Linked DNA regions of Stegostoma tigrinum. The protein of the gene in region 3 purifies or fractionates together with the protein of the main gene of each other region. This does not show direct contact. Links are inferred from orthologs where the notes say so. Each region holds a gene or a part of one and is shown on either strand. Other genes may lie near its edges. The genes, in order: mitochondrial intermembrane space import and assembly protein 40-like, cytochrome b-c1 complex subunit 7 and cytochrome c oxidase subunit 6B1-like.

Region 1 (7,904 bases), on a different chromosome or scaffold from region 3:
ACCCCCCCACCTCCTCACCCCCCCCTCCTCACCCCCCTCACCCCCCCCTCCTCACACCCCTCACCCCCCCTCCTCACACCCCTCACCCCCCCACCTCCTCACCCCCCTCACTCCCCACCTCCTCACCCCCCTCACCCCCCCCACCTCCTCACCCCCCTCACCCCCCCACCTCCTCACCCCCCTCACCCCCCCACCTCCTCACCCCCCCACCTCCTCACCCCCCTCACCCCCCCACCTCCTCACCCCCCTCACCCCCCCACCTCCTCACCCCCCTCACCCCCCCACCTCCTCACCCCCCTCACCCCCCCACCTCCTCACCCCCCTCACCCCCCGCTCACCCACCCCACCTCCCGCTCACCCACCCCACCTCCTCACCCCCCTCACCCACCCCTCACACATCCCACCTCCTCACCCCCCTCACCCACCCCACCTCCTCACCCCCCTCACCTCCTCACCCCCCTCACCCACCCCACCTCCTCACCCCCCTCACCCACCCCACCTCCTCACCCCCCTCACCCACCCCACCTCCTCACCCCCCTCACCCACCCCACCCCCTCACCCACCCCACCTCCTCACCCACCCCACCTCCTCACCCCCCTCACCCACCCCACCTCCTCACCCCCCTCACCCACCCCACCTCCTCACCCACCCCACCTCCTCACCCCCCTCCTCACCCCCTCACCCACCCCACCTCCTCAACCCCCTCACCCACCCCACCTCCTCACCCCCCTCACCCACCCCACCTCCTCACCCCCCTCACCCACCCCACCTCCTCACCCCCCTCACCCCCCCCTCCTCACCCCCCCTCACCCCCCCTCACCCACCCCCCTCCTCACCCCCCTCACCCACCCCCCTCCTCACCCCCCTCACCCACCCCCCCTCCTCACCCCCCTCACCCACCCCACCTCCTCACCCACCCCACCTCCTCACCCCCCTCCTCAACCCCACCTCCTCAACCCCCTCACCTCCTCAACCCCCTCACCCACCCCACCTCCTCAACCCCACCTCCTCAACCCCCTCACCTCCTCAACCCCCTCACCCACCCCACCTCCTCAACCCCCTCACCCCCCCCACCTCCTCAACCCCCTCACCCCCCCCACCTCCTCACCCCCCTCACCCACCCCACCTCCTCACCCCCCTCACCCACCCCACCTCCTCACCCCCCTCTTCACCCCCCTCACCCACCCCACCCCACCCCCTCACCCACCCCACCCCACCCCCTCACCCACCTCACCCACCCCACCCCCCTCACCCACCCCACCCCTCACCCCCCTCACCCACCCCCCCTCCTCACCCCCCTCACCCACCCCCCTCACCCCCCCCACCCCCTCACCCACCCCCCTCCTCACCCCCCTCACCCCCTCACCCACCCCCTCACCCACCCCCTCACCCACCCCCCTCACCCACCCCCCTCCCACCCCCCTCACCCCCCCCACCCCCCTCACCCCCCCCCCACCCCCTCACCCCCCTCACCCCCTCACCCACCCCCTCACCCACCCCCCTCCTCACCCCCCTCACCCCCCCCACCCCCTCACCCACCCCCCTCCTCACCCCCCTCACCCCCCCCACCCCCTCACCCACCCCCCTCCTCACCCCCCTCACCCCCCCCACCCCCTCACCCACCCCCCTCCTCACCCCCCCCACCCCCTCACCCACCCCCCTCCTCACCCCCTCACCCCCCCCCACCCCCTCACCCACCCCACCTCCTCACCCACCCCACCTCCTCACCCCCCTCCTCACCCACCCCACCTCCTCACCCACCCCACCTCCTCACCCCCCTCCTCACCCACCCCACCTCCTCACCCACCCCACCTCCTCACCCCCCTCCTCACCCACCCCACCTCCTCACCCCCCTCACCCACCCCACCTCCTCAACCCCCTCACCTCCTCAACCCCCTCACCCACCCCACCTCCTCAACCCCCTCACCCACCCCACCTCCTCACCCCCCCTCACCCACCCCACCCCCCTCACCCACCCCACCCCTCACCCCCCTCACCCACCCCACCCCCCCCACCCCCTCACCCACCCCCCCTCCTCACCCCCCTCACCCACCCCCCTCACCCACCCCCCTCACCCACCCCCCTCCTCACCCCCCTCACCCACCCCCCTCACCCTCCCCCCCTCCCCCTCCCCCCCTCCTCACCCACCCCCCTCACCCTCCCCCCCTCCTCACACCCCTCCTCACCCTCCCCCCCTCCTCACCCCCCCCCCTCCTCACCCCCCCCCCCTCCCCACCCCCCTCACCCACCCCCCTCACCTCACCCACCCCCCTCACCCACCCCCCTCACCCACCCCCCTCACCTCACCCACCCCCCTCACCCACCCCCCTCACCCCACCCACCCCCCTCACCCACCCCCCTCCTCACCCACCCCCCTCCTCACCCACCCCCCTCACCCCCTCACCCACCCCCCTCACCCCCTCACCCACCCCCCTCCTCACCCCCCTCACCCCCCCCACTCCTCACCCCCCTCACCCCCCCCACCCCCCCCACCCCCTCCTCACCCCCCTCACCCACCCCCCTCCTCACCCCCCTCACCCACCCCCCTCCTCACCCCCCCCACCCCCTCACCCACCCCCCTCCCCCACCCCCACCCCCTCACCCACCCCCCTCCCCCACCCCCCTCCTCACCCCCCTCCCCTACCCCCCTCCTCACCCCCCTCCCCTCCTCACCCCCCTCACCCCCTCACCCACCCCCCTCCTCACCCCCTCCTCACCCTCACACCTGACCCTCCGTTCCCCCACCCCCTCACCCACCCCCCTCCTCACCCACCCCCCTCCTCACCCCCTCCTCACCCCCCTCCCCCACCCCCCTCCTCACCCCCCTCACCCCCTCACCCTCACACCTGACCCTCCGTTCCCCACCCCCCCGGCCCCTCACCGTGCCGCCGGCAGTGGGACATCTCTCTCTCTCTCTGTCTCTCTCTCTGTCTCTCTCTCTCTCTCTCTCTCTGTGTGAGGGTTCGTGTCCGGGGGGGTGGGGAAGAAATGTGTTTCTCAGTCTCCGGCCCGTGCTCCCGGCCTGACCTCTGACCCACAGGCAGGAACCAATCACAGCGAGAGGGCGGGGCCAGAACCGGGGGCCCAATTTAAAGCCGCAGAGACGGCCCAAAGCACCTACCCTATGGAATCTATAACATACACCCTATAGAATGCACAATGTCCGTCATACTAATCCATTAGAATGTATAATGTCCACAATACCTACCCTGTAGAATCTATATTTTCCGTAAACCCACCCTATGGAATGTATATTGTCCATAATACCCACCCTATGGAATGTATAATATCCATCACATCCACCTACTGAATAAACAATATTTATTAAGTTATAATGGACCAACGAGTTTGTGAGAATGGGTGATTGTGGTCATTGAGAGAATCAGGTGTGGCTGTGGGTAAAAAGCATGGACGGACTGTATTAGGCTCTTAAGGTTATTGAACTCATTGTTGAGTTCTAGAGGCCACAAGATCCCCGAGTGGAAAGTAAGATGTTCTTTGACCTTGCATTGAGGTTGGCTGGAACTCTACAGCAAGCCTGCAACAGAAATTTTGGCATGAGAACACAGCGGTGTGTTGAAGTGGCAGGCAACAGAAAGCTTAGGATCATTTTTGCAGACAGAGCTTGGTTTTCTGCAAAGCGGTTTGTGTGACGCAGACTAGGTTACATTCTGTACAGCTCACCGATTTTCTCCTACTCTTAGCTCTCATTGTCACATATTCAGTTTTTTTTCTATTCTGGCCTGCTACCCGTAATTTCCCTGTCTACCTAGCTCTTTCATATCTCTGTCTCTGGGCTCCGTCTCCACCAATCCGCCCTCATCTCCCCTTCAGATTCCCAGCTTCAGCTTCAGCATAAATATCACATTTTTCTGGCTCATACCAGCTCTGATGAAGAGTCTCTGGACCCTGTGCTTTCTTCCCACAGTTGCTGTCAGTCCTACTGAGTTTCTCCAGCAATTTCTATTTTTGTTTTAGATTTCCAGCATTTGTAATTCATTGTTTTATTTTAATCTATAGAATCCACAGGCTCAAATATTGTACAATATGTAATAACATGTGATTAATCTGTAGAATTGACCAGCAGGAAAGTGCAGTGAAAGACACAATTGGATGAGTATGAACTTATAGAATGGCAGTATAAGTGAGTTTTGAGAAGTTTTGACAGTATAAGTCAGGGGCTGTCCCTGCTCCAAGCTAAGATGGTCTTGAAATTTTGTGTGGCCATGTTCAGTACAATTGTGCAATCACCTCAATATGAGTGGATGCAGGTGAATAAAGTCATTTATATACTGGGGTTTCATTTTCCCTGGGGACCAGGTTCAAGCTGAAGAAAACTACAGCTCCCAGCATGCTTGCGGGAGGGTCCTAACCTTCCCAGGCGGAGCCCGGGGAGGCCACCACCCAGCATCCTCCGGTAGGTAAGACTACAATCCCCAGCATTCCTGGGGAGTCGACACCATCTCCCGGCAAGCTTCACGGGAGTAGGTCCGTCCCTCAGGAGTGCGCAGGCGCAGAATGTATCCCCCTTGAAGCCGGAAGTGAAGGTGTGAGAGGGGCTAGAGCTGACTGTGGTCTCCCCCCTCAGTGTGTGTTATTGGCAGGGAAACCATGGTGAGGCCTAATGTAAGTTCAGAACCACAAACAACAGCCTTGTCAACGTGCAGGTGAAGATTAATCTGAATTGGCGTTGGACACATTATCATCTGAAGATATTCCTGGGGAAGGGAGTTCCCTTCTATATTCTGACAGCCCAGATCCACGTGGCACAGCTTTGAACCTGAGGAAGACAAAGTTCCCATCTCCCTGGCATATTTGCAAGAGATCTGATATCTCTTCTTGTAAAATCAAAGGGGCTAACCAGAGTCCTTCTCCCTACCTCCCCCCCCCCCCCCCCCCCCAATCAGAACCACCAACCCTTCCCTATGTCTACTATGGCCCTGGACTGAAGCCAACAACTCTCCATCAGTTGCTGTTTTTTTTGTTTCTAATCAGCACAATTGTTGGCCAGTGCCAGAGCAAATCAAAATGATGCTGCACTATAATCAAAACATAATGGGTGGGAGGGTGCAAGTCTTGGTTAGTGAGATGTCACTGACGATGTGTAAATGACTTCAGACCCATTTGTCAAGATTATATTTTAAATGCTGTGTAAGATCCTCAGCTAAGTCAGTCAGCTCAATTATACTGGTTCTGGGTAAAATGAATGGGCAATAAATGTCAGTCTGACCAGGAATGCCCACAGCCCAACATCAAAAATTGTGTCACTGTTGTTTAAACACCTTCTGTTTTTGGGTGTGCCTGTACTGAATGGCCTGCAGCAGTTAATGAAGGCAGACAACATTTTGAAGGGAATTTAGAGATGGCCAGCCTAGCCAATACTATTCCACATCCCGTGAAAATGTTTACAAAGTTCATCTGTCTTCATTTCGCTTTTAAGATGGTACTTAAAGATTCATGAAAGCTTGTCCCTTCTGGTTTTGCAGCAACCAGGAGGCAGCAGGGATGAACACGTGAAGGTCACAAATCAGAAGAAGCAGGGATTCCTGGAACGTCTTGGGGAGACAATGGGGGGAATGGTGGTGGGAGTGCTTATCTTCACCTTGTCCTTCTACCTCCTCTTCACCAATGAGGTAGGTGCAGAGGTTGGATTACATGCTGTTTTCTGGGCAGGCATCAGTTATCCTGTTCAATTTGTGGTATCAGTGTCTGTTGCTCAGTGGGTAGCTCGCGCTCATTTCTGAATCAGAAGTTCATGGGTTCAAATCCCACATCAGGGACCTGGGCAAACAGAAGAATCTGAGGTGATAGTTTTTGTAAAATGCATGATGAGGAACGTTGATGTGAAACTTAACTGGATTTGATACACAACAAAACGTAAACAACGTGGCTACAAGAGCAGGTCAGAGGCTAGGAATACACCGGTGTGTAACTCCCCTCCTGACTCCCCAAAACACATCTAACCATCTAAAGGCACAAGTCAGGAGTGTGATGGAATACTCCCCACTTGCCTGGATGGATGCAGCTCTAACAACACTCAAGAAGGAATGAGGTGTGCAGTGAGCTGCCAATGTGTCGTTACTTGGCTTCATGTTCCTTACAGATAAAAGATCAAAGCTGAATGAGCTGAACTGTGAACTGCACAGAGAGGATAGAGACTTAGCAATGTGGGATCATTTCTACAGGCTAATTTCAGGAATTAGATGCATTGGAATGAACGGTCATGTCTCCCTCCGGTCTCTTCCTTCAAGTAGACGTTGTTGGGCTGGCTATCAGATTCCATTAGGTATTTGATTTACAAGTCCGTGGTATTGAAGTGGACATAATTAACTGTGCCAAATGATATTGAGCTGGAAGCTGGAACAAGGGACAGTGATGTTTGGAGATTTGTAAACAGAGAAAAATACACACTGCTATTATCCTGTGGTTTTACAATGAAAGCTTTGGTACCACATCCCTCTGAGACAGCATTCTCCCAAATACAGATAATCAAGTCCAAGTATCTCACCTGCCTCACAAATGCCCGTGTGATGGACTGTATAGAACTAGCTAGTTCAAATTATAATTTGGCTACTCAAAGAGGAGGATAACATACTGAGCCTATATGTAGAAGACAAAATGAATAATCAGATATACTAAAAATAAATGCATTATTTTCTTTCAGGTAGATTCTTGTTTGCACTAAAACTCAAAAAGTGATCTTGTGCTTAAGAATGTTGAAGTCCCTTGAAATAACACCATCTTCCTTCCTCTGGCTATCTGAGTTCTTCTAGATGTTGTCATGTCCCGGTTACCGCTCACTAGTATTCCCTGTAAACTGGGCACAGCAGCGTGGTAGGGCAGTGACACAGAATATTCTGCTTGGTGCAGTTACCAGGAACATTGCCCATGTGTGTTGTTGATGAACGTTTTGCTCACAGTCTGACGGTAATTCCATTGAAAAAATCATCAACCACTTGTTTGAACCCAACATAGACTCGCACTTTACATCTTGCTGTAACCTCTTCCAGTCCCCAAATCCTCCGATATCTCTGCCTCGCTCCAATTCTAATCCCTGGAGTATCTGTGATTTTAATCCCTCCGCCATTGAATGCTATACCGACAGCTGTCTGGACTCAACACTCTAGAATTCCCTCCATAAACCTCTCTAATTGTCTCTTTCTTTATCTCTCTATCCTCCTTTAAGATGCCGGTCTGTTTGAGATTTTGGTCACTAATGCTGCATTTTTATGTTGCTGGGTGACGGTTATTCTCTAATCTACGTTCTTGTGAAATGTCTTGGAACATTTTATATTGTGCTGATGTAGTTCTATAAAAGCAGGTTTATTTACAAGGCTCCTCTGACAACATCTCCTAAAACCATAACAGTTACCATCTGGAAAGAAAACGGTAGCACATGCAGGCACTCGCTGGGTTGGGAATGGGTCCCAGTCCTGACCCCATTCACAAACTGACTTGTACCCAGATTGGAGCACAGTGAAGGACAGTGTAGAGGAACTGTTCCTAAATTCAGGAAGTGTTCATGTGTTGGGTGTATAAAATTTCTCCCTTTATGGAATTGTGTTTGTAAGTAGGAGTGTTTGTAAATCAGTGACCCCCGTATGTGGGAACACCATCCCCTGCAAGTTCCCCTCCAAGCCCCTCACCATCCTGACTTGGAAATATATCCCCGTTCCTTCAGTGCCACTGTGCCAAAATCCTGGAATTCCCTCCCTAAGGGACATTGTGGGTCAACTCACAGCACATGGACTGCAGTGGCTCTTGAAGGCATCTCATCCCCACCTTCTCAAGAGAGCAACTACGGACGGACAATAAATGTTGAATTGAATTGAGTTAACTCTATTGTCATGTACTCAAATGAGTACAGTGATCAGTTTATGTGTCGCCACTTACAGCACCACCTT
Region 2 (8,029 bases), on a different chromosome or scaffold from region 3:
ATAGGGTGAACATTTTGGGTGCAGTGACTCATCAGGTGCTATCACACCTACCGAGTTTCTCCAGCAATTTCTATTTGTTATCAATTAGGCGGCATAGTTTTATGGGTGAGAACTGAGACAGAGGTTTGGTCGAGAGGTGAGGGGTGAAGAGGTTGTATGGTGCAGGTGAAGAGCAGGGCGCACGTGCCCCTATCTTTGAAGGCAGTAGCTCAATAGAAGAGATTACAAAAAGTCACTAAAGGATCCTTAACTTTATCTGACTAAGAAAGAACATTAAACATTACTCAAACATTACTTGGGCTTTATCTGGAGCAAGGCGCATAATTCTTGGAACCTAAATTTAGAAGAAATGCCAAAGCATTTAAAAGGATGCAGAAGACTTTAGTGAGATATAACTAAGGATGAGGGATTGAGGTTGTCCTCCCAACAGGTTTGATAAAGGTTTGGGTTACACAAGGGCCACTTGGTGCCTGATCTCAGAACAGGCTTAGTTCAAAAATGGACAAGAGAGCTGAAATCCCAAGGTAAGGTGAAAATGACTGCCCTTGATATTGAGACTCCATTTAACTGTGTGTGGCCTCTCATGTTACAGTTGATCTTTCTCTACACCTTCTCTGTAGCTGAAGATGATATTCTGCATTCTGTTCAATTACCCTAATGTAATTATATAAGTAATGATTTGTCTGATTAGCACATAAAATATTTTTCATAGTATCTCAGTACATATGCCAGTAATAATGAATCATTGAATCACCAAAGTGTGGAAACAGGCCATTCAGCCCAATGGGTCCACACTCAATGACCCTCTGAAGAATATCCTACCCAGACCCATACCCCCACTATATCCCGGTAACCCTGCACTTCCCATAGCATTCAAGGATGTGTAGGTTGGCTATGGGCAATTTAGCATGGCCAATTCCCCTAAATTGCACAGCTTTGGACTGTGGGAGGAAACCAGAGTAACAAGAGGAGATCCATACAGACATGGGGAGAATGTCTGTGTGCAGTTTGCACAGTGACGAGAGGGTGGAATTGAACGGGGTCCCTGGCACTGTGAAACGAAGCACAGAGTCAAGAGACTTCGCAAAACCAGAGGCAATGGGAATCAGGGATACTGTCTGCTGGTTGGAGTCATACCTAGCACAAAAGAAACAGTTATGGTTGTTGGAGGTCAGTTATCGCAGCACGAGTTCTTCAGGGTAGCGCTCCAGGCTCAAGCATTTTCAGTTGCTTTATTATGACATTGCCCACAAAGGTCAGAAGTGGGATGTTTTCTGATGATTACACGACGTTCAACATCATTCACAACTTGTCCAACACTGAAGCAGTCCACGTCCAAATGCAGCAAGACATGGACAACATCCAGGTTTGAGCTGACAAGTGCAAGGCAATGGCCATATCTAAAAAAGGAGAATCTAAATCATTGTCTCTTAACATTCATAGGCATTATTATCACAGAATCACCCACTGTCAACATCCTAGCTGTTACCACTGAACAGAAACTGAAATGAACTAGCCACATTCAATGGCTATAAGACCGGTCAAACAACTGCACAGCACAATGCCGGCTCCCCAAGCCACAAGTCAGGAACTTGATGGAACACTTCCTATTTGACTGGATTAGTGTCAACAAGAAGCTTGACACCTTCCAAGGCATAGCAGCTTGCTTGATTGTTTTTGGATGTGGTGCCATTCACTCTCTCCAACAGTAACAGTTTGTACCATCTGCAAGATGCACTACAGAAATTGAATTGGGCTTAAGATAACAGCTTCAAAACCCACAATACTACCAGCTAAAAAGGACAAAGACAACAGATGTATGGAAACAGCATCACGTGAGGAGTTCCCTTCCAAGACATTAATCACCCTGACTTGGAAAAAACATCACTACCTTGTCTGTGTTACTGGTTCAAAATTCTGGAACACCTTCCCTAACAACATTATTGGTCTGCATAAAACAAATAAGGTGTGGCTCTTTTTTTTAAAAAAGGCAGCTCACCACCACCTTCCAAGGGCATCCAGGGTTAGGGAATAAATGCTGGCACAACCAGCAACTCCCATATACTTTGAACAATTTTTTTAAAAAGCAGTAAGGAGAAACTCTCAGCAACTAAAGGGCAGTGACTTAGAAGAACAGGTGGCAGTTGAACCCAAGTCTCTTGGCTCAGAGGCAGGGATATTCCCAACACGTTACACGAGCGCCAAGGAGAAAAAAAACACATTTAAAAACATTAAGTACTACTACTGACAACTGAATGTATTTATCCCAACCGCCAAATTATCTGGAATATTCTACCCGAAGGAATGGTGAAAATAAACTTAACAGTAATTTTCAAGGAAGAGTTGAATAAATACTCAAAAGGAGGAAAATCCAGGAAAAGCCACCAAAAGAGGCAGTATTGATACGCTCGGCCGAATTGCAGTGAGGAGCAGAGTCTCCAGCTTCCGGTCGCGATTTCCGCTGGGGTCACCTTGAACGCTGTAAACACAAGTTGTTCCTCTCCTCCGCTAGATCTCAATGTCAAGAGAGTCACTGCAGGGGACAGCTACTGGAGCTGGTCACTGACGCCATGATAGACCCGGTACCTCTCCCATCACTAACCAACCACGGTCGGGACCCCGCAGTCACCTTACCTCCCCCACCCGTCCCCGGAGGATCCCCACACATCCCTCTCAGAGACAGGCTAAGGTGCCCACTTCTCTCACCAACTCCACGTAGAAAGCGCCAGGAACTTTATGCATAGCCGGACTGTTTCCCTCTCCCCTTCCCGTTCTCCCTCACCTGGGGCTCTAGCCGCCATCTTGCTGCTTAGGAGCTCAATGCGACTGCGCCACCCGTCAAAAGTTGCGGCGCAAAGATGTAACGTAAACGCGTCGCGTGACCGCGGTTTAACGTATTTACACGCACTCGATCGGAAGGACAGCGCCGACCCGACTTACATGCACGTGCCCGATGTGAGTCACAATGACTGCGCGTGGGCCAAAGATCGTACGCCGGCATCGTCCGCGCATGCGTACGTGCCTTTTCCCCGTATAAGTGGTGTCTGTTCCGGGTTTGGTGCTTTCCAGTGAGTATGGGACTGACGGCGAAATCACCTTGTTAGGCAGTAATACAATGCAAGTTTTCATTAATTTCTTCGCATGGCAATGGCGAACAGTGTAGCTCCCGGGCTGTAAACACAAGTTGTTCCTCTCCTCCGCTAGATCTCAATGTCAAGAGAGTCACTGCAGGAGACAGCTACTGGAGCAGGTCACTGACGCCAGGATAGACCTGGTACCTCTCCCATCACTAACCAACCACGGTCGGGACCCGATGGATTGTAGGGGGAAAGGACAGCATTCATAGATACAGCGCTCAAGCCACAAACTGCACCAAAGATGAAAGAAACTAAGCACAGAAGAAAAATTAATTCCACAGCCCCAAGCAATATTAGTGCCTTTGTCCAGGAGTTTATGGATGTGTAGATCTAGATTTCTGTCATTTATGGCATTAGTTTTCTGCTTTTGAACACAAAGCATCTACATGCATTCAATACAGTCAAGCTCAAGGAACAACATCTCATAGTTACATTACAAATATTTGCAGCTGTCCTGTGTTTGCACTGATGTCGTTTTGTTTATAAGATGTGGGCATTGGTTGCTTGGCCAGGATTTATTCCACGTCTGTGAGGGCCTGGAGAAGTTGATGATGAGCTGGCTTGAATGCACCAGTGCTTGCGGTGTAGGTTCTTTTAGAAAGGAAGTTCCAGGAGTTTGATTCAACAACACAGAAGGAGTGGTGATGTATTTCTAAGGCAGGATTGCATGTGGGGCTTGTAGGGAACTTGCAAGTGGTGGTGTTTCCATGCATCTGCTTCCTTCTCCTTCCAGGCATTAAGAGTTCATGGGTTTGGAAGGTGTTGGCAAATAAGCCAGGGCAAGTTGTTGCAGTGCATTTTATACACACCGTTACTACAGTGTAACAGTAGTGGAGGGAGGGAATATTTAAGTTGTTGGATGGTGTGCCAATCAAGGGGGCATTTTTTTTTTCCTGAATGGCGTTGCGCTTCTTAAATATTGTCAGGGCAGCGTATGGAGAACATTTCATCTTAGTCCTGATTTGTAAATGGTGTTCAGACTTTGGGAGGCAGAAAATAAAATTCGACAAACACCACAAAATTCCTTGCCTCTAACCTTCTCTTGTAACTACAGGGCGTTCTACTTCAGTTTTTTATCAATGGTACAAATTTTGATAGTAAGGATTCAGTGATTGTACTGCCGTTGAATGTCACAGGACAGTGTTAGATTCTGTTTTGTTTGAGAAGATTATTGTGCAGCATTTATGTAGTGGAAATACTACTTTTCAATTATCAGCGCAAGCCTGGATGCTGTCTAGGTCTTTTTGCATATGTTCACGGACTGTTTCAGTGTGTAAACAGTAGCGAATAGCACTGAAACTGTGAAATCATCAATGAACTTCTCCATTTCTAAACTTATGATTGAAGGAGAACAAGGAAGCTTGTATTTATTTAAAGTTTTTAAGATTGACAGGAGACCTTCTTGAGACATTTAGCAGGATAGATGGAGAGAAGTTGTTTCCCCTTGTGGGAAGAGTCTAGGACCATAGGTTGCCCATTTAAGACAGAGATGCGAAGGAATTTCTTCTCAGAATAGTGAATCTGGGGCATTCTGTACTGTAGAGAGAACTGTCAAGGTTGGATCATTAAGTATTGACAAGGCTGAGTTAGATAAGTTTTTACTCATAAAAGAATAAAGGGTTATTGGGATAAGACAGAACAGTGAGGATTGTCATATAAGCCATGATCTCATTGAATGCCAGAGCAGACTTGATGGGCTAAATGTTCCATGTCTACCCATATATCTTTTGATAAGTAGAAAATAATTGTAAAGGTAATTACCAGAAGCACCCAGTGTGACCCAGTTGTTTTTGGCGTGGTGAGTGACGATGGTTCCGTATACACAGCTTTAAGGGTAGTAGTGGTAGCAGCAATTTTAATCATAATATTCAAAGGAAAATTGAATTAATATCTGCATGGCTATGGGGAACGATTGGCAGAGTAGGACAAATTGGTAACTTTTTCACGAGCTAGCATAGACACGGTGAGACAAATGGCTGCCTTCCGTGTTTTTACTATTCTGTGATCCCAAAGATGAGCTTGGGAGCCAGCTGGTGTTTAGGACTAGAATTCCCCATTCCTGCACTGCTTGGGAGGATGGTCTGCATACTTTGTCAACGTGTGTTTTTCTCATACTGGACTGTTGATACACTGGAGAAGGCTTCACTTTTCCAGATCTCAGAGTCATAGAGATATTGAGCAGAGAAACAGACCCTTCAGTGCAACTCATCCGTGTTGACCAGATATCCGACATTAATCTAGTCCTATTTGCCAGCACTTGGCCCATATCATTTTAAGCCCTTCCTGTTCATATACCCATCCAAATACCTTTTAAATCTAGCGATAGTAACAGCCTCTGTCAAGTCCTCTGGAAGCTCATTCCATACACGTATCATCCTCTGTGAAAAAGTTGCCCCTTAGATCCCTTTAAATCTTTCCCCTCTCATGTTAAACCTGCACGGTCTAGTTTCCCTACCCTGGGGAAAAGACCTTGTCTGTTTACCGTATCCATGACCTTCATGATTTCATAAGCCTCTGTAAGGTCACCCCCCTCAGTTTCTGACTCTCCATTGATCAAGCGCCTTAGAACATGGAACATAGAAAAGTACAGCACAGTACAGGCCCTTTGGCCAACGATGTTGTGCCATGGATTAATCCTAATCCAAAAATAAAATAACCTAACCTACATTCCCCTCAATTCACTGCTGTCCATGTGCATGTCCAGCAGTCGCTTAAATGTCACTAATGACTCCGCTTCCACGACTACCACTGGCAAACTATTCCATGCACTCACAACTCTCTGAGTGAAGAACCTTCCTCTGACGTCTTCCTCTATACCTTCCACCTAACACCTTAAAACTATGACCCCTCGTGGCAGTCAGTCCTGCCCTGGGGAAAAGTCTCTGGCTATCAACTCTATCCATGCCCCTCATTACCTTGTACACCTCGATCAGGTCCCCTCTCTTCCTCCTTCTCTCCAGTGAGAAAAGTCCAAGCTCAGTCAACCTCTCCTCGTAAGACAAGCCCTCCAGTCCAGGCAGCATCCTGGTAAACCTCCTTTGCACCCTTTCCAAAGCCTCCACATATTTCCTATAATAGGGCGACCAGAACTGGACACAATATTCCAAGTGTGGTCTCACCAGGGTTTTGTACAGCTGCAGCAAAACCTCGCGGCTCTTAAACTCGATCCCCCTGTTAATGAAAGCCAAAACACCATACGCTTTCTTAACAACCTTATCCACTTGTGTGGCAACTTTGAGGGAGCAATGCACTTGAACACCAAGGTCCTGCTGTTCCTCCACACTGCCAAGAATCCTGCCTGTAATCCTATATTCATCATTTAAGTCAGACCTTCCAAAATGCATCACTTCGCATTTATCCACGTTGAACTCCATCTGCCATTTCTCAGCCCAGCTCTGCATACTATCAATGTCTCGCTGAAGCCTGCAATAGCCCTCGATACTATCAACGACACCTCCAACCTTTGTGTCATCAGCAAACATACTAACCCACCCCTCAACATCCTCATCCAAGTCATTTATAAAAACTACAAAGAGCAGAGGCCCAAGAACAGACCCCTGCAGGACACCACTCAGCACTGACCTCCAGGCAGAATACTTACCATCTACAACCACTCTCTGCCTCCTGTCAGCCAACCAATTCTGAATCCAGACAGCCAAATCACCCTGTATCCCATATCTCCCAACTTTATGAATGAGCCTGCCGTGGGGAACCTTAGTTCTTCACTATCCTGTCTATCTGCAAATTCATTTTCAAGGAACTGTGAACCTGCACTCCGAGACCTCTCTGCTCAGCAAAACTCTCCAGGACCTTACCGTTAGGTATATAAGATTTGCCCTGGTTTGCCTTTCCAAAATGTCGAACCTCAATTTATTTAAATTAAACTCCATCTGCTACTCCTCAGCCCCTTGGCTGGATTGATTGAGGTCCCCTTGTATTCTGAGGGTTTTGTTGCTGTCCACTACACCTCCGATCTGCAAACTTACTAACCATATCTCCTCGGTCCACATCCTAATCATTTACATAAAATGATGAAAAGCAGTAGACTCAGCACTGATCCTTGTAGCACACCACAGGTCACAGGCTTCCAGTCTGAAAAGCAACCCTCCATCACCACCCTCTGTCTTCTACCTTTGAGTCAGTTCTGCGTCCAAACAGCTGGTTCTCCCCCTGTTCCATATGATCTAACCTTGCTAACCAGTCTATCATGAGGAACCTTGTTGAATGCCTTCCTGAATTCCATACAGAGCATGTCCACTGCTCTGCCCTCATTAGTAATGTCTGTCACTTCAAAAAATTCAATCAAGTTAGTGACATACAATTTCCCACTCACAAAGCCACTTTGACCATCCCTAATCAGTCCTTGCCATTCCAAATACATGTAAATCCTATCCCCTAAGATTCCCTCCAGCAACTTGCCCACCACCAATGTCAGGCTCACCCCGGTCTATCGTTCCCTGGATTTTCCTTACCACCTTTCATGAATAGTGACACCATGTTAGCCAATCTCCAGTCTTGTGGCACCTCATCTGTGGCTGTCGACGATACAAATATCTCAGTATGGGGCCATCTTTTTTCTCACTTCCCACAGAGTTGTAGGGTACACCTGATCAGGTCCCAGGGATTTATCCACCTTTATGCATTTTAAGGCATCCAGCACCACCTCTTCTGGAATATGGACATTTTTCAAAATGTCGCTATTTATTTCCCCATGTTCTGTATCATCCATATCCTTCTCCAAAGTAAACATTGAGGCAAAATACTTGTTTAGCATCTCCCCCATGTCCTGCAGTTCCACACATAGATAGCCTTTCTGATCTTTAAAAGGGTCCTATCATCTCCTTAGTTACCATTTTGTCCTTAACATATTTGTATAATCCCTTTGGATTATT
Region 3 (8,053 bases):
AACCTAATTCCACTTAAACTCCTGCTTTGAGCCTAGTGCAATGTCATAACACTAAAGGATGTTACTACATATGCTGGAAATCTGAAATAAAAACAAAGTGCTGGAGAAATTCAGCAGGTCTGACAGCATTGGAGAGATAAGCAGTTAAAGTTTCAAAATTCTTTTGAGCTTGAGAGGGGCAGGGAAAGGGGATAGGTTTTATATGATAGAAAGAAATTCAGAATAGCAAGTGGACCAGAAGGGGGAGGAGGGGACATGGTTACAGAATGAGCAAGGTTAGACACCACCAGCATTATAAAACAAAAGGCAATGAATGTGGAGGAGAGAGAGGTGGGCTAGGTGAATGTTAATAGTAGAATGTAGCTCAGTTCTACCAAATACAGAAAACTAGTTGCTTGAGAGGTGGGAGGAATTGAACGGAGGGAAATAATTTTTGTGGTCTGTAAATTGTTGAACTCAATATTGATTCCAGAGACTATGAAGAACCCAAATGGAAAAGGAGGTGCTGTTCCTCCAGCTTGTTTCTGGGTTCACTGAAACCGCAGCAGACCTTGGACAGAAACACGAGCATGGCAGTGAAGTGCTGTGACAAAATGGGCAGAAACCACAATGTTAGTGCTGTGCTCACCAACCCAGTGTGCATCTGGTGTCACTGTTACAGTAACATCAGCACTTGGGAAAGTTCAAACCCATTTAAAATGTGGATACTATTAATATTTTACAATAAAAGGAAGTACTTAAGTGTTGGTTCTATGTGAGCCAACTCTGGATGCTAAGGAACCCAAACGACTCAGGCATAAATGTTAAATGGAAGTCCACATCTCCATCTGCCTCCAGATCACTCATTCAGTTGGCAGTATTCCCTCTGAGTAATGTGTACATGAACAGTAAGGTTTAAGAGGGATATGGGCCAAATGCTAATTAATGGGACTAAATTAATCATGGTATATCTTGTTGGCATGAACAAGTTGGACCAAAGGGTCCGTTTCTGAGCTGTACAGCTCTATGACTAGTCTTCAGTTCATCATTCACTCTTCTCCTTTCATTCTTACCAATTGTCCCAACCTCAGAACCTTATCCTTTCTTCAGCTGTACTGTAGCCAGCACAAAACATAAAGACACCTCCAACAAAAACCCCCCTGCCAAAGGGCTCTTATAGCGTACTGGGAGCATCCCGAACTCAGAGTTGGAGAGATCAGTTGGCTGGACAACTGGTTTGCAATGCAGTGACAGCAACAGGTTATTATGAAGGACTCTCCTCAATCTCTCCCTTTCTCACGAGGCGTGGTTACCCCTCAGGTTAAACAACCCTCAGTCATTTCTCTCTAACGATGCTCTGGCGAGGCTATGGTAACTTTAAAGGTAAAGTCTGTTTACCTTTAGCCCCGAGTCAGTTTTCATCCCGCCTGCTCCAGACATGGGCCATAATATCTCTGCACAAGCTGACCAGAAATAAGCCTAGGGGCCATAGCTTAACCAAACCGCGTAGGGTACTTTTCTGCTGTAAGGATGGACAGGTCGGGGGGGGGGGGGGGGGGGGGGGGCATGTTGAGGTTAGTAGGTAGGAAGTGGAGGTGCGGCTTGAGGTTTTGGGAAACCCAGCTTGTCCCTGCCTGCCTACCTATCCCCTCCTCCCACCTCAAGGTGCACCTCCGTTTCCTACCTACTGACCTCATCCCACCTCCTTGACCTGTCCATCCTCCCCAGACTGACCTATCCCCTCCCCACCAACACTCACCTCTTCTGGCTCCATCCCCACCTCTTTAACTTGTCTGCCTCCTCTCCACCTTCGATCCACCTCTGCTTCCCCCCCTTCCCCATTTATTTCAGAACCCTCTCCCCCTCCCCTTTGTCTGATGAAGGATTAGGCCCAAAACATCAGCTTTTGTGCTCCTGAGATGCTGCTTGGCCTGCTGTGTTCATCCAGCTCCACATTTTGTTATCTCAGATTCTCCAGCATCTGCAGTTCCTATTATCTTAAGGGTACTTTTCTGACGTGTCAATCCACTCTGACCCAGCTAATGGCAGGGTCCTTCTGCATACAGCAAGTCAAAGCTGTTTTGGTCAAAAATCTGAAACAAAAGCTCTGAACAGGAATTGTGCTGTGAAGAAAGAGCAGAAATGAAGCCAGATCAATTTCTATTGCTCACATTCAAATTCAAATTCCATCTACGCCAGGCTGTAATCAGTGTCCGCTTCAGTCACCCCGCCACCCTCCCTCCACACACACCTCCCCACCCCCTCTGGGGCCTACAGCTCCCAACACCACCAGTTCACCTCCGACACTGTCCTCTACCCTCACAAGGTCAATCCAATCCAGGCCTGCAGTGACATTGAGAAGGACAAACCAGGGTTCACAAAAAAAAGGATGGAAAGTCTCCCTCTGTAATTTACCTGCATACAGCAGGAACGGGTCCCCACTGAGCTGAAATAGCAACTGTGTACGAAATTTCACTGTGAATGCAGAGTTCTCTAAGCGACCTTTCACAGCCTGAAATAATGTAAACCCCGCTCGGTTTGGTGCAACAATGCAGAGCGCCGCCTCGCTTAGGCGCTAATTAAAATCTCAAAGCGAAAGCAGGTTCCTGCTTCCCTAGCCTACTCAAAAAGGATTCAATCTTGAAAGATGCGGAGGCTTTCAAACCAGGCTGCAAACGTCTAACATCATTTCTGTGCGTTTGGCTGCTCCGTGTCTGGAAAAGACCACGTCCTACCTGTAATCCAAAGCGACAGAGAAATGTGCTCGAAAAACGGCTACACTTCACTTCCGTGTTAGTTACACTGTGTCTGCTCACTAACGCTGCATGGCGTCCTACAGCAGAAGTTCAATACACCCCACCCATTGCCAAACCTAAATACTCACTCACTCCAAAATAACTCACCAATTTAAGAACTCGTTTCTGATCGAGATGCTTACTTACATTGTATCAGCCTGAAACAAATCTACAACTACTGTTCTAAACGTTTTATTTGAAAATGGAGGAAATCGTTTACCCGGAACAGGAACTGTGGCGGGGGGGGGGGCGGTGAGAAGCAAGTAAATTAATGTAACAACATTCCAGTCGTGATTGCAACATGCAGCGGAATGTAAAACAAAGGTGTGAATGCAGTGTTTGTATAGACAGAATTTCAACTATTAAATAAAGGATGTATGTGAGGGCTAGTTCCAAAAAAAATGCGATTAATCATTAACCACATTTCATTATTTGGAGTATTTAGCACCGCTACAGGCCTGGTCAGAGAGTGCATGCAGTTTAACACCCTATTAATACAAAATTAATAAGCCTCAAAATGAGAAATCATTGTATCAATTTAGAGACCCTCTGTTCAAAGTAAAGGAAAACCTAAAGAACTGCAGATGCTGCAAATACGAAACAAAAACAAATTGCTGGAGAATCCAAGATAATAAAATGTGAGGCTGGATGAACACAGCAGGCCAAGCAGCATCTCAGGAGCACAGAGATGAAGGGTCTAGGCCCGAAACGTCAGCTTTTGTGCTCCTGAGATGCTGCTTGGCCTGCTGTGTTCATCCAGCCTCACATTTTATTATCTTGGATTCTCCAGCATCTGCAGTTCCCATTATCTCTGCTGGAAAAGCTCAGCAGGTCTGATAACATCTTTGAAGGGAAATCAGAGTTAACGTTTCGGGTCCAGTGACCCATTCCTCAGAACAGGGACCCGAAACGTTAACTCTGATTTCTCTCCACAGGTGCTGCCAGGCCAGCTGAGCTTTTCCAGCAATTTCTATTTTGGGTCCAAACTACCTTAGGTTGAAACTTTGCACCTTCGTTAGAATTCCCCAGGAATTTGAGCAACCTGTACTTTCACCTTGGTTTCCACATTGGCAACCCCTCAGCCAATGAGGGTTGACTCTGCGGACTGGAAATGTTAACTGTTTCCTCTCCACAGATGCTGCCAGACAGCTGAGTTTCTCCAGTAATTTGTGTTCCTGTTTCCAATTTCCAGCATCCATAGTTCTTTCATCTCCCCTTTGTTTTCCTGCTGCAGTCTAAATTATTGTGATTGTTTGAAATGTTGTATTCTTGTGTTTTGTCCTGACAAAGAGGAAAAGTTTCAACCTACTTCTATTTTGTTGACAATAATAAAGCTTTTCCTTGTGTAACCTCTGGGTCTTTTGCCAATCATCTTACATTGGTGGCTTCTGCTTCTCTTCTGGAGTCATACAATCCTATTAGTGTGGAAAGAGGCCATTTGGCCCATCAAGACTGCACCAGCCCTCAGAGCATCCCACCCTGACCCGGTCACACCCCTACCCTATCCCCATAATCCTACACTTCCCATGGCTAATCCACCTAATTTGTAGATTCCTGAACACAACAGGGTAATTTCCTATGGCCAATCCACCAAACCTGCACATCTGCAAATATAAACAATCCTGTGTCTATCATTTCTAGACCCCTCATGATTTTGAATATCACCATCAAATCTCACCCTTGACATTCTCTTCTCAAGAACAAACTGTTCAGACAGTTCAGACCTTATTTCTGAAGAAGGGTCCTGACACATGTTGTCTCTGACTCCAGCATCAGCAATTCTTAATATCTTTGTCACCCTTTGGGTCAGAAGCTTTCTTCCCCAAAACTATTCTGATTAACCCTTTTACGGCAACTGTCCAGCAATGTCTTCACATCCTTCCTAATGTACCTTGTCTGAGGCTGAAACTGTATTTTCTTAAGGTTCATCACAATTTCCATCCTTTTATGTTCTACACCCCCAGTGATGAAATGCAGGATCCTGTATGTCTTCATTAATCAGTTACTCAAGATACTCTGTCCCCTTTAAATGTTTGTGCCCATATACTCTAGGTTCCCCTGCCACCATTGCCTCCCCCCACCGACCTCCACCACCTGCCCCCGCTCCCACTCCCCACCATCCTCTTTCGTATTATATCCTATTGTTTCCTTGTTCTTCTTACCTTAATGACCAGTTGACACATCTCTGCATTAAATTTCATGGCCACATAACCATTACATCAGCTGATGTCTTATTGGAAGGTTATTGCTATTCTTTTCATACTTCACAATTCTTCCAAGTTTTGTTTCATCTGTGGTTGTAGAAATTATCCCCTGCACACGCAAGTCCAGGCAGTAATGTATGTCAGGAAGAGCAGCAGACCTAACACAGACTACTGGGAAACTCACTAATCATCCTGCCTCATTCTGACGACCAAGCATTCACTGCTATTCCCTGAGATGACCACACAGCCGATGTCTTCTTTATTTCACAAGCTTTTACATTTATGAGAAGCCTGTTAGGTAGCATTTTAGTGAATGCCTTTGGAATGCTATGTACACCATATGCATCGCATGATAATGTTATAGAGATCTGTAGCACAGAATAAAAGCCCCTCAACCCATTGAGTCCACACCCATCAAAAACAACCACCTAACTATTCTAGAGATAATGGGAACTGCAGATGCTGGAGAACTCCAAGATAACAAAATGTGAGGCTGGATGAACACAGCAGGCCAAGCAGCATCTCAGGAGCACAAAAGCTGACGTTTCGGGCCTAGACCCTTCATCAGAGAGGGGGATGGGGAGAGGGAACTGGAATAAATAGGGAGAGAGGGGGAGGCGGACCGAAGATGGAGAGTAAAGAAGATAGGTGGAGAGAGTATAGGTGGGGAGGTAGGGAGGGGATAGGTCAGTCCAGGGAAGACGGACAGGTCAAGGAGGTGGGATGAGGTTAGTAGATAGATGCACCCCCATCTATCTACTAACCTCATCCCACCTCCTTGACCTGTCCGTCTTCCCTGGACTGGCCTATCCCCTCCCTACCTCCCCACCTATACTCTCTCCACCTATCTTCTTTACTCTCCATCTTCGGTCTGCCTCCCCCTCTCTCCCTATTTATTCCAGATCCCTCTCCCCATCCCCCTCTCTGATGAAGGGTCTAGGCCCGAAACGTCAGCTTTTGTGCTCCTGAGATGCTGCTTGGCCTGCTGTGTTCATCCAGCCTCACATTTTGTTATCACCTAACTATTCTAATCCCATTTTCTAGTACTTGGCCCATATGCTCTGGCATCCCAAGTGCACATCTAAATACTTCTCAAATGTCATGGGAGTTTCTGTCTCTACCACCCCATTGCCAGTGAGTACCACATTCCCACTACCCTATGGGTGAAAACATTTTCCCTCATGTCTCCTCTAAGCTTTCCACTCCTTGCCTTAAATCTATTTCCCGGGTTATTCATCCCTCCGTCAAGGGGGAAAGTTTCTTCCTGCCAACCCTGTCTACACATCTCAAAATTATATACATCTCAATCATGTACCCTCTCAGTCTCCTCAGTTCCAAGGTAAACCAGCCCAGTCTGTCTGGTCTTCCTTCATAACTGAAACTCATCAACCATCTGTTGTTTCATTGAAAAATCCAAACTAATTAAACATGATTTGCCCTTAACAAGACTATACTAGCTTCCCTGAATTTGTAGATGTCCAAGTGGCTGCTAATTTTCTCCAGGATTATTATTTCTGACAGCTTTTTCACTATCAAAGCTAAACTGTCTATTGTGTTGTTGCTGGGTGTATTTTTAAACATTTTTTCAAACAGGGGTATAATTTTTACATTACATCTACATTACCTCTGTGTCTCAGGGGATAGGAAGATTGTGGCCAGTGCCTTTGTAATTTGCATCATGACTTCACTCAGTCTCCATGCTGCATTTCGCCTGGTCCTGGTGACTTATTATCTTTAAACATGGCACAGCAAGTTTTACTTTAAATGATTCTGTTTAAAAATAATGAAAGCTTGGAAGTAAGATTAGGTTATCAGTTTTAATGCTGTTTATTGTGGGATAAACAGGGACTAAGAGACTAGACAAAAGAAAGGACATGGAGTTTATTTATATCAACTTGAGAAGGCAGGTGAGACTTCAGTTCAATACCAAGGGTTACATATTACTGTAAAAGGAGAAAACAATTACAGAGATAATGGGAATGGCAGAGAGTTTGATTTTCTCTCTGTCTGTGGGTGTAATACAAAAAATAGTCTCTGCTGAGTCTTTGTTAACAACTTCATGTTAAGCTCCTTGAGCCTTTCTTCTGATTTTAGTCTCCAAGACATAAAATTGTCATGATCCTTTCTCATCATCTGCATCTTTTGTTTGAGGGCAACCATGCTATATTCCAAATGTGCGTAAACTTTGATTGCTGCCTCCTCAGTAAAGTGTTCTCATTGTAATTCCAGTGTATGCAGAACTCAGTATGACTGGGTGCACATCTACCAGGGTATATTAATAATAATTGCTAAATTATTTTCATTAATTAGCTCTGCCTGTCTGTTGTTTCCTGGGTGACAGATGTTTGGAGCAACAGTTCTCCAGTGCAGATCTTATTTCTGAAGAAGGGCCCCGACGCATGTTGTCTCTGACTCCAGCATCAGCACTTCTTAATATCTCTGAACGTATTCACGATTTGCTAATTTAATAAAACACTTCCCTGTTTATTGTCACCTTTCTTGAGATGTTTCACTTTGTACTTGAGCAATTTCATCAAAATGCATCCGTGAATTATTTCAATCTTTCTTTTCTTTCCAATCCTAGAGTTCTCTGCCATCAAAAGCCTAATAACATTTGTGTACACCTCTTGTTCTATCTGATCACTCATCTTTACTAATCTCACTTCAGAATCTTTATCACTTTGTAAGTCCATATGAAATGCAACTTAATTACCTTCTCAGAGAATTACAGGCTGTCTACAAACTGCATGTTCTTTTTTCCTTAAATAACCTGTTGAGAAATGTTATTACACACCTCTAGAGCAGGTGGGATTTGAACCTAGGTCACCTGCCTCAAAGGCAAGGACACTGCCACAGCAGCCTCTGGGATTATAAGATATGCTTGGGGGGGTGTTAGAGTTTCCATCCCTTCCACCAGTAGAATCATGGAATCCCTACAGTGTGGAAGCAGGCCATTTGGCCCATCGAGTCCACACCACCCTCTGATCAGCATCCCATCCAGACCCACCACCCCCCTACCCTATCTCTGTAACCCTGCATTTCCCACAGCTAATTTGTCCCACCTGCACATCTCTG

What was found.
Region 1: the proteins of cytochrome c oxidase subunit 6B1-like (region 3) and mitochondrial intermembrane space import and assembly protein 40-like purify together in Homo sapiens (co-immunoprecipitation; 3 studies listed by BioGRID and IntAct, with this or other methods). This does not show direct contact. The link is inferred for Stegostoma tigrinum from reciprocal best matches to the Homo sapiens genes COX6B1 and CHCHD4.
Region 2: the proteins of cytochrome c oxidase subunit 6B1-like (region 3) and cytochrome b-c1 complex subunit 7 purify together in Homo sapiens (affinity purification with mass spectrometry; 3 studies listed by BioGRID and IntAct, counting the BioPlex papers as one, with this or other methods). This does not show direct contact. The link is inferred for Stegostoma tigrinum from reciprocal best matches to the Homo sapiens genes COX6B1 and UQCRB.

What each region holds. Positions count from the first base shown.
Region 1 is NC_081364.1:2,799,734-2,807,637, forward strand, and holds the start of mitochondrial intermembrane space import and assembly protein 40-like, read right to left. Parts: upstream 3,030-7,904; 5' UTR 2,904-3,029; coding exon 2,882-2,903; intron 1-2,881. Other genes in the region: transmembrane protein 43-like, read left to right, coding at 4,612-4,626, 5,487-5,633.
Region 2 is NC_081358.1:93,151,465-93,159,493, forward strand, and holds the start of cytochrome b-c1 complex subunit 7, read right to left. Parts: upstream 3,017-8,029; 5' UTR 3,002-3,016; coding exon 2,941-3,001; intron 2,898-2,940; exon of another isoform or gene 2,802-2,897; coding exon of another isoform or gene 2,783-2,801; intron 1-2,782. UniProt on the Homo sapiens protein: Component of the ubiquinol-cytochrome c oxidoreductase, a multisubunit transmembrane complex that is part of the mitochondrial electron transport chain which drives oxidative phosphorylation.
Region 3 is NC_081376.1:6,942,124-6,950,176, reverse strand, and holds the start of cytochrome c oxidase subunit 6B1-like, read right to left. Parts: upstream 3,015-8,053; 5' UTR 2,922-3,014; exon of another isoform or gene 2,883-2,921; intron 2,851-2,882; exon of another isoform or gene 2,715-2,850; intron 2,505-2,714; exon of another isoform or gene 2,395-2,504; intron 1-2,394. UniProt on the Homo sapiens protein: Component of the cytochrome c oxidase, the last enzyme in the mitochondrial electron transport chain which drives oxidative phosphorylation.